Linked DNA regions of Arabidopsis thaliana. The protein of the gene in region 1 interacts with the protein of each later gene in a pairwise test. Each region holds a gene or a part of one and is shown on either strand. Other genes may lie near its edges.

The links. Proteins that work in one complex are often made in the same cells at the same time.
Region 2: the proteins of AT5G51980 (region 1) and AT5G09240 interact in a two-hybrid assay, tested with the Arabidopsis thaliana proteins (one large-scale study listed by BioGRID).

What each region holds. Positions count from the first base shown.
Region 1 is NC_003076.8:21,112,861-21,118,257, forward strand, and holds AT5G51980 (Transducin/WD40 repeat-like superfamily protein), read right to left. Parts: upstream 3,338-5,397; 5' UTR 3,189-3,337; exon of another isoform or gene 3,074-3,188; 5' UTR 3,043-3,073; coding exon 2,491-3,042; intron 2,118-2,490; coding exon 2,028-2,117; intron 1,909-2,027; coding exon 1,807-1,908; intron 1,715-1,806; coding exon 1,568-1,714; intron 1,467-1,567; coding exon 1,347-1,466; intron 1,269-1,346; coding exon 1,209-1,268; intron 1,113-1,208; coding exon 1,015-1,112; intron 935-1,014; coding exon 790-934; 3' UTR 501-789; downstream 1-500. Other genes in the region: AT5G51970 (GroES-like zinc-binding alcohol dehydrogenase family protein), read left to right, coding at 1-138, 232-424; CBF4 (C-repeat-binding factor 4), read right to left, coding at 4,253-4,927.
Region 2 is NC_003076.8:2,873,160-2,876,544, forward strand, and holds AT5G09240 (ssDNA-binding transcriptional regulator), read right to left. Parts: upstream 1,691-3,385; 5' UTR 1,622-1,690; coding exon 1,490-1,621; intron 1,377-1,489; coding exon 1,265-1,376; intron 980-1,264; coding exon of another isoform or gene 907-979; coding exon 734-906; 3' UTR 501-733; downstream 1-500. Other genes in the region: SRT2 (sirtuin 2), read left to right, coding at 1-112, 185-284, 404-454; KIWI (ssDNA-binding transcriptional regulator), read right to left, coding at 2,327-2,445, 2,817-2,922, 3,075-3,209.

The DNA.
Region 1 (5,397 bases):
CGATGTAACATTCGACTGTGCGGGTTTTAACAAAACCATGTCGACAGCATTAGCAGCCACTCGTTGTGGCGGTAAAGTCTGTCTTGTCGGAATGGGTCACGGTATAATGACTGTCCCTCTCACTCCTGCAGCTGCAAGGTAACCTCCTTTGACCATCATAGTAAGAAACTTTCTAACTTTTGAAAAGTACAATCACATAATAACCAAGTAAATGTGTTGGTTTGGAGACAGGGAGGTAGATGTGGTGGGTGTGTTCAGGTACAAGAACACATGGCCATTGTGTCTTGAGTTCCTGACAAGTGGTAAGATTGATGTAAAGCCACTCATAACCCACAGATTCGGTTTCTCTCAAAAGGAAGTGGAAGATGCCTTTGAAACCAGTGCTCGTGGGAGCAATGCCATCAAAGTTATGTTCAATCTCTGAAAACAATCTTTGCTTTTCTAAGAACATATTAAGGTTTCATAATAAGGAAGCTTCTGTAACTTTGTTATCCATTGTATATCAACTCTGAATCTCTCTTGAATAAGATAATCCTTTATGATAAATTGACCAATACAATCCAAGCGTTACAAGACAAATGCTGAAATTGGACAAAAAGGGACCTAAATTCTCCCGATTCTGTCTCAAAACTCCTAACATGACACGATCTTGGCCACTGTCCATTTCATCAGACCGTGGCTTCTACTAGGAGGACCTCAACAAGAAAGAAAAGTCTCCAAAATAGACTCATATATAATGGTACAAGAAAATCGTAGAAAACATCTCTTTGACGATAGCATCAAACTTTCTCAAGGCAAAGCCGCGGTTGGTTCAGTGCACCATTTCCATACTTTAACTTGACCAGTTCCGTCACCCGTGAAAAATATGCCCCCGGGACCTATCTGGATCGCCCGTATCTCTTGCTTTGCAAAGATTTTTCCCCTCTCCGTAAATCTAATGAACAAACCTAAGCTATCAGAACCAATAAGAGAGAAAGAGATGAAGAATTCATACATAAACGTTGAAAGTCTTACGATGGTAAGTCGTAGAGGCGCAAGGTGTTGTCATTGCAAGCGCATAACAAAACAGGCTTGGCTTCTGCATCATGTACACCACATAGAGCTAGCACTCCCTGAATCCAGTTTAAACATTGCCAAAATTTCTTAGTCACATAACATATAGATTAGGACCATAAGAGAAGGTAACACATTTATAAAAGAAACCATACATGTTCTTCTTTGTGAGTATATGTTACTTCCAAATTGCCACCTTCGATTGCAGCCCATATCTACAGCGGAAAAACACATTAACAAGAGAAAGAATGAAACTTAAGAAATTTATGAAAGTTAAAGAAAGACGAACTAACCTTAACCGTGTTGTCCAATGAACAAGACAAAAGGAATTGATCCCAGCAAATGAGAGACATCACAACTGATGAATGATCAGTGAGTGTTTGTATACACTGTAGATTATCCAAACTCCAAACCTATCAAACAAAAAACATATAAACCAAAAAGATTAGCTCAAAGAAAGAAAAAAATAGTGAGAGTTTTCAATTCAAATATAATAGATAATACTAGTACTTACTTTTATAGTTTTGTCCATGGAACCCGAATAAAGTCTGTTCGCCCCAACATATAAGGTAACAACTGCAAGTGTATGGCCCGTCAGTGACGCTGATGGTTCAAAACAGTTAGTGGCAGCATTATATCTCCATGCCAAAATAGAGCCATCCTGCACAGAATGTAAAGAACTTGTCACTTATATAACCAAAAGCCGACTATTTCGCAGAGATCTCAGCAAGAAAAGAAAACTTGGAAATTTACCTGTGTTCCAGCAAAGAGCAGATCAGTACCCACAACAAGAGAATAGACTTGGCCAACAGGTCCACTTAGACTCTGGTCAGCATTGGTTTCAATATTCCACGCCTGTATCAACAACAATGAGACATAACCCCATAAGCATCTAAGAATGAAAAGGGTTCCTCGATATCTATTGTGACAGTCAAAGAAAAGTACTGTTAAGAGGAATCATACTGAATACTTGCCTTGACAAGGTTTGGCATGCCAACTAATAGCCACGGGCCTTCACTAAGCACACAGCCAATTTCCCCACCAAGTTTGAGTACTCCTGTACACTAATCAAAAGAGAAAAGAACAATATCCACGATAAGTAAACTTGAAACAGTCTTTCACAAGATCAGAAAATGCATTCCTCAAATACAATCAGCATCAGCGAATTAGACACTTCCTTTCCTAATTTGACAACAAAGACACCAATTTCCATCGATATATCAGTGCTCACTACTCTACTTATGACAAATTGCAGTCTCTTGTGTCACTCTAAATCTTAACCAAGCAGTTATAACTATTCATCAAACATGGTTTTCTAGCTAGAGAGGACAACAATAACATCCATGGACAACAACTGCATTCTCTAAAGCCACTCTATATCCTAACCAAACAATTCTATCACTGAGGAAAGCTTAAGGTCCTTTGAGCAAACCATACCTGTCCAGAAGCACAATCCCAAACACGCAAGGTCTCATCTTTACTTCCAGTGTAAAGCTTATCAGAACCAGAAGGCAAAGCAATACCACTAACAAGCTTCTCATGACCATCAAGCTGAGTCAACAACGCAAAGCTCTCTCCTTTACTCCAACAATGCAAGTATCTACACTTATCACCGTATGTGCAATTCCCATCTACCCAAAAGTTGCAAACTTTCTCAGTCTTCGTCACCGTTCTGTTCCCACCAAATCTCCCCCAACTACTACTCGAGTTCCCATTAAACCCAGGTCCTCTCCGATGACTCGGACCCGCGAAACCAGATTCCTCAGCGACCCTTTTGTTCGTATAACCCGGGCCTTGACCTTGACCCGGACCAGGACCCGGTAATTCCCGATGTAGATAAGGACAAGGAGAACGATTACAACGCCCGGCTCGCCAGTGGAAACAAACCTTTTGTCTTGTATCCGTTGGTGCCATCGGACGAGTTGACCCGCCACCGCCACCGAGTCTGTTGAAGACTCGTTTGTTTCCTCCGTTCAAATCGAAATCCATAGCTTTTTTTATTGCCTCTCACTCTCTTTCTCTAGATTACAATAACAACAGACGCAAATTAACACAAGACCGAACTTAAAAGTAAGGATTTTTCCGATTGGTATATAGATAAATCAAGCTGCAAAATTGGAGGAAACCCTAATTACCAAAAGAATCTCTGAGAAGTAGTAATCAAAATATGAAAGTATGAGAAAGAAAAATTTGGGATTGTTGTGAATGTGGTGAAGTGATAATAATGCAGAGAAAAAAGAGAAAAACTTTGGAGTGGATTTATTTGTATGTGTTTATAAGCTTTGGATCTTCGTGGAGAGGACAGAAGTAGTAGAAGAGAAAGAGAAAGTGAACACCAGTCGCGTCAGCTTGACGTCTATTGTTTAGTTACTATTTTATCCCTATGATGGCTCTATTTTACAAAATTACTTTAGTGTTTTCTCTCGGTTTAAATCGGTTCTGATTTAGACCGGATTGTAGGTTTATGCTTTTGCCTTGGAATGAAGGGTTCTAGGCACAAGCACAACCCTATACATAATGAAGGGTTTTTAAATCTAGCGAGCCAAGAAACCCCACACTTCTATAACTGAAAGAAAAGGACATGTAAAGTTAGTGAGGGCCAGGGACATGTTTTTCTAGTGAAAAGATTTCCAAGTGTTCAGTGTTTGCTTAGAAGAAAAAAGATAGATGATTACCATAAGGCGTGACTCATGAGAAGCTTGAGGCCACATATAAATATTCTACCTTTTTTAAGAACCACAATATAGAAGCTATATCAGTCTAATGGTCAAGGACCTCTATTACTCATTCACGTGTTTGGACTAATGTGTAAGAGATTTTATAGTTTTAATTTTTTTTGCTGAGTCTACAAGGAATATATGATAATGTGAATCAGGATTATATTTGGAAAAGCAGAGGTTTCAAGCTTTTATAAGCTCTGGAAATTTGGTAAAGATTGTCAATACATCAACGAAACAAAGAGAAATCTATTTACAGTTTCAGATACAACAAAACAAAATTTTCAAATTCTATAGCTCTAATTTGATCAAATCTGTTTACCAAAAACAAACAAAGAACATTCTAACAAGAATAAATGATAGACGATTTATTACTAAAGATTTGGTACCAAACAAAAAATACAGGTACGGAACTCCGGACCAATCCTAGATGTCCAAATAATCCCTAAACTAACTTATTATCCAGAAAAAGAGCCAAAAAATTACTCGTCAAAACTCCAGAGTGACACGTCACCCACTCCGTCAAAGTCGTTATGATTCCAGCCAACTTCCGGCGGCGGCAAAAGCATCCCCTCCGCCATATTCTCAAAAAAGTTGGGCATCCCCAAAAGCGCCTCATCATCCATATAAAACACACCACCATTCTGCTCCTCCGCCCTCCTCTCCCCCTCCCTCACCCCCTCCCCTGCCGCCTCCTCTGCCTCCGCCGCAGTTTTAGATCCCTCCGTCGTAGTCTCATTCTGAAACGCCATTGCAGCTTCAGACGCAGCTTTCTGAATCTCCTTAGGACAAGTAGTCTCAGGAATACGAAGCCGCCAAGCAGAATCAGCGAAATTGAGACAAGCAGAGCGACCACGAAGAGCTAAAGCAGCAACATCATGAGCACGAGCAGCCATTTCAACCGTCGGAAAAGTACCTAACCAAATCCTAGATTTCTTATTAGGCTCTCTAACTTCACAAACCCATTTACCAGAATTCCTCTGACGAACTCCTCTGTAAATCGGATGACGTGTCTCACGAAACTTCTTCCTCCCAGCTCGTTTCTTTGGACAACTTGAAGCTAACTTTGGTGAACACTCACTACTGTCTGAAACCGGAGATCTATGATCGGAGATTGAGAGAAACGAGTCTGGGAATGTAGAGTAAAATGGATTCATTTTTTCTTTGGATAAGATGTTTTATTTCTCTTTCTATCTTTTTATGTTTTCAGGTGTTGGAACTTTTGGAGATATTTTTATTACAGAAAGTGAAGAAGTGTTGTGTTTTTATTTTATAAGAAAAGTGAGAAACACGGAGGATCTGGTAACGACAAGTGTCCCACGGTATGTGACTTACACGTGTCCTTCTGAATCACTTTACTTCGTCTAAGTGTATTGTGTACTGTGGCTGGTTCCGATTCGATGGTTCAGTTTTGATATTTATTATTTTATTGAATTTAAGTATGGTGTTCGGAGAAAGGGGACGATTTAGAAAAAGACAAAACAGTCTTTAGTTTTAAAAAGTGATAAAGATACGTTGAGGATGACGTCATGGGAACACGTTTTTGACAGTTGGAGTGTAAACTGCTCTCTGTGGTTCGAAAGGTGAGCCACGTTTGAAGGGACGGGTTCGTCCGCTGTCTAGCCAC
Region 2 (3,385 bases), about 18 Mb from region 1:
ACAACATCCCGAAGGAAAGAGCTACTCAAGCAATGGAAGTTGCAAAACAGAGCGATGCATTCCTCGTGTTGGGTTCATCCTTAATGACAATGTCTGCTTTTCGCCTTTGCAGGTGATGCAGGAGAATAATCATCCAGTTTTGAGTTTGCATCTTACTAAGAAGCTTTCTATATACCTTTTGCAGAGCGGCTCATGAGGCTGGTGCTATGACCGCAATTGTAAATATAGGCGAAACAAGAGCTGATGACATTGTTCCATTGAAAATCAATGCTAGGGTTGGTGAGGTATGAGCATAGCATAAAGCTCTTCCCTTTCCTTCAGCCTTGAAAATGCCTTAAATATCCATATTATTTCATGATTGTCAGCCTTAATAATTTGTCATTTCGTGATTGGTTTGCTGCAGATATTGCACAGAGTTCTTGACGTGGGATCGCTCAGTGTCCCAGCTCTCTAGCACAATGTCCGGATCATTTAAGTAAACTTTGGCAAGAGCTATGTTATCATTTAGATCACCTATATATATTATTTATAACTAATCAAAATGAATGCTTGTATTCCTGCAACGTATCTCAAGTTGTAAATCCAACATCAAATAAAAGAGTAATCAACATCAAATAATAGATTCAACACATGAACTAACTCGAAGCAGCTAACACTTGCAGAACATGGTGTTGTTCTGAAAAACAAACCAAAACAACCAAAGCCACCTTCCAATACCCGATTACACAAGCTTTTAAACCTCAGAAAGCTCAGAGAGGGCCTTATCGATATCCTCCTCATGGTTCCGAAGATCGTTCCACTGCATTAAGAAAAAGGTCTCGTGTAATAAGCAGGACATATGCACGTGTGGAAGACATAAACAATGGAAGAGAGATGTGAATACCTGTTCCAGGCTTAGAGAGATACCTGCAACATATAGGAGACATCGAAAATCTTGTCAACATGATTATGCAAAGAAAGCAAACTAATATAGCTGGCCCTAGGAGACAAAAACCAAGACGTTGTTGATGAAAAGAAAACACTCTGCGCATCTCCTCCTCTCAGTCCCAAACCGCAGAAGTACTAGATATATAATAAAAGTCCCTAAGATCTGCTAACTAAATGCAGAACCTTAACGAAACAAAACATGAAAACAAAGGGATGAGGATACATTGTTGACCATAAAAAAGAAAAGAGAGGAGGATACAGAGTATTAGCAAATGTGGAATTGTGAGAAGAAGAGAGACAGTCAAAAGAAGATATGTAGTTAAAAACAAAAATTTACCTTGCTTGCTATTACAAGGTAAAGTTATACCGTCCTTGACAAAGAACTGACGAATGGCAATCCAAATCCTCCCATTGCAATTCCTCACAAAGACTCTCCGATTCTTATCTAACTGGAATGTAAACAAAACATAACATCATAAACAAATATCACAACTTGATCCAAACCCTAAAACTCATACGAACTGCTACAGACAAAAAAGAGATGAATAGTAGAGAGACTAACATTGCAGATGAAGATGTCCTCAATCTCGTCCGCTGGCTTTGCCACTTTCTTAGGCGGCGCGTGGGTCTCAGATTCGTCGCGGTCGTCTGATGCTCTGACATCCTCGTCTTTCCTTTTTCCGTTCTCAGACATTTTCTTAACCTCTAAAAAAAACACTCTTCTACTGCAAAAATTGACTCTTGAGATTCTCAAGTTAAATAAAAAGCACCTCTCTCCTTTTCTCGCGTAATATATCTACTGCGTTCACCGAATTACAACTGTGATATCAGATTCGGAACGCCATTTTACAAGCGCACAGTTTGAGAACACGCGCGGCCAAACTTAAAACGGGGGAGTTTTTTGGGAAGGTAAATATTCTTTGGAAAAGAGCAACTATAGCAATGAAAGTAGCAACACAGAGTGATACATTTATTGTGATGGGTTCATCTTCAAAGACAATGTCTGCTTATGGCCTTGTCCGGATCAAGTGAAGTTTGGCAAGAGCTATGTAACATTTAGACCTATCTTGTTTATAACTTATCAAATGAATACTTGTATTCCTGCAACGTATCTTAATTTGCAAATAAAACAGCACTACAGCAGTAAATAAAAGAGCAATCATTATATTCTTAATACCAACCAAAGCTTGTCTGAACCAAAAGTGAAAGATTCCATACACCAACTAATTTGAAGCAGCTTACACTAGCAGAACATGGTGTTGTTCTACAAAAACAACCAAAACAACTGAGCCATATTCTAATAGACGTACAACCAATGATACAAGTTTTAAAACCTAAGAAAGGTCAGAGAGGGCCTTCTCGATATCCTCTGCGTGGTTCCGAAGAGTGTTCCACTGCATTAAGGAAAAGCTGTGTAATAAGCAAATAACAAGAAAACAGAAACACTTCTAGGAGACATAAAACAGTGGAGAGAGATAGAAAGAGATGTGAGTACCTGATCCACGCTTAGAGAGATACCTGCAACGTATAACAAACATAGAGATAATCTTGTCAACATGATTAGTTATGTAGAGATAAACTAATATAGCTGTCTCTAGAGAAAGACATGAAGGAGCAATAGCACCAAAATAAACAAAACGTTGTTGTACAAAAGCAAACACTCTGCACCATCTCCGCTCATACTTACAAGTCCATAAACAGTCTCAATAAGCAGAATTGCCTATTATAAAACCCTAAGATATGCAATTCTATAAACCTGACTAAATGCAGAAACTTAACAAAGCAAAACAGTAACGAAATATAAAACTAAGAGATGAGGAAACACATTACTAGAAATAATGAATTATGAGAGCCAAGGGGCATTGGTTTAAATTACAAAATAAAGTTACCTTTCTTGCCAGGCAAAGTCTTTCCGTCCTTGACATAGAACTCACGAATGTCAATCCAAATCTTCCCGTTCCAATTCCTTACAGAGACTCTCCTATTCTTAGATATCTGATGTATAACCAACATGAACCCTAATTTGATTAAAACCCTAATTTTGAGCAAAACACATCAACAAAATTAAAACTTGACCGAAACCCATAAGCTCACTGCTAATAGAGTAGATAACGAAATTGAAAGATAGACAGAAAGTGTAGACTAACGTTGCAGACGACGATATCGTCAGACTGGTCGGAATCGTCTGCTGGCTTTGCGACTTTCTTAGCCGGCGCGTGGGTTTCAGATTCGTCATCTGATGCTCTGACATCTTCGTCTTTCCTTTTTCCTCTAGAAGACATTTTCTCCAACTGTAAATAAGCAGACCCAAAATGTTCTCTTCAGACCAGAGTAAACTCGCACTAAACAAAAAACCGAGCAATTACAAAATTTAGTAAAAGTGAGAAGGAAACCTGGTCGTGACGCTGCAACGAGTTTCTCGGAGACGGCGAAAGGACTCTTCTACTGCGAAATCGAC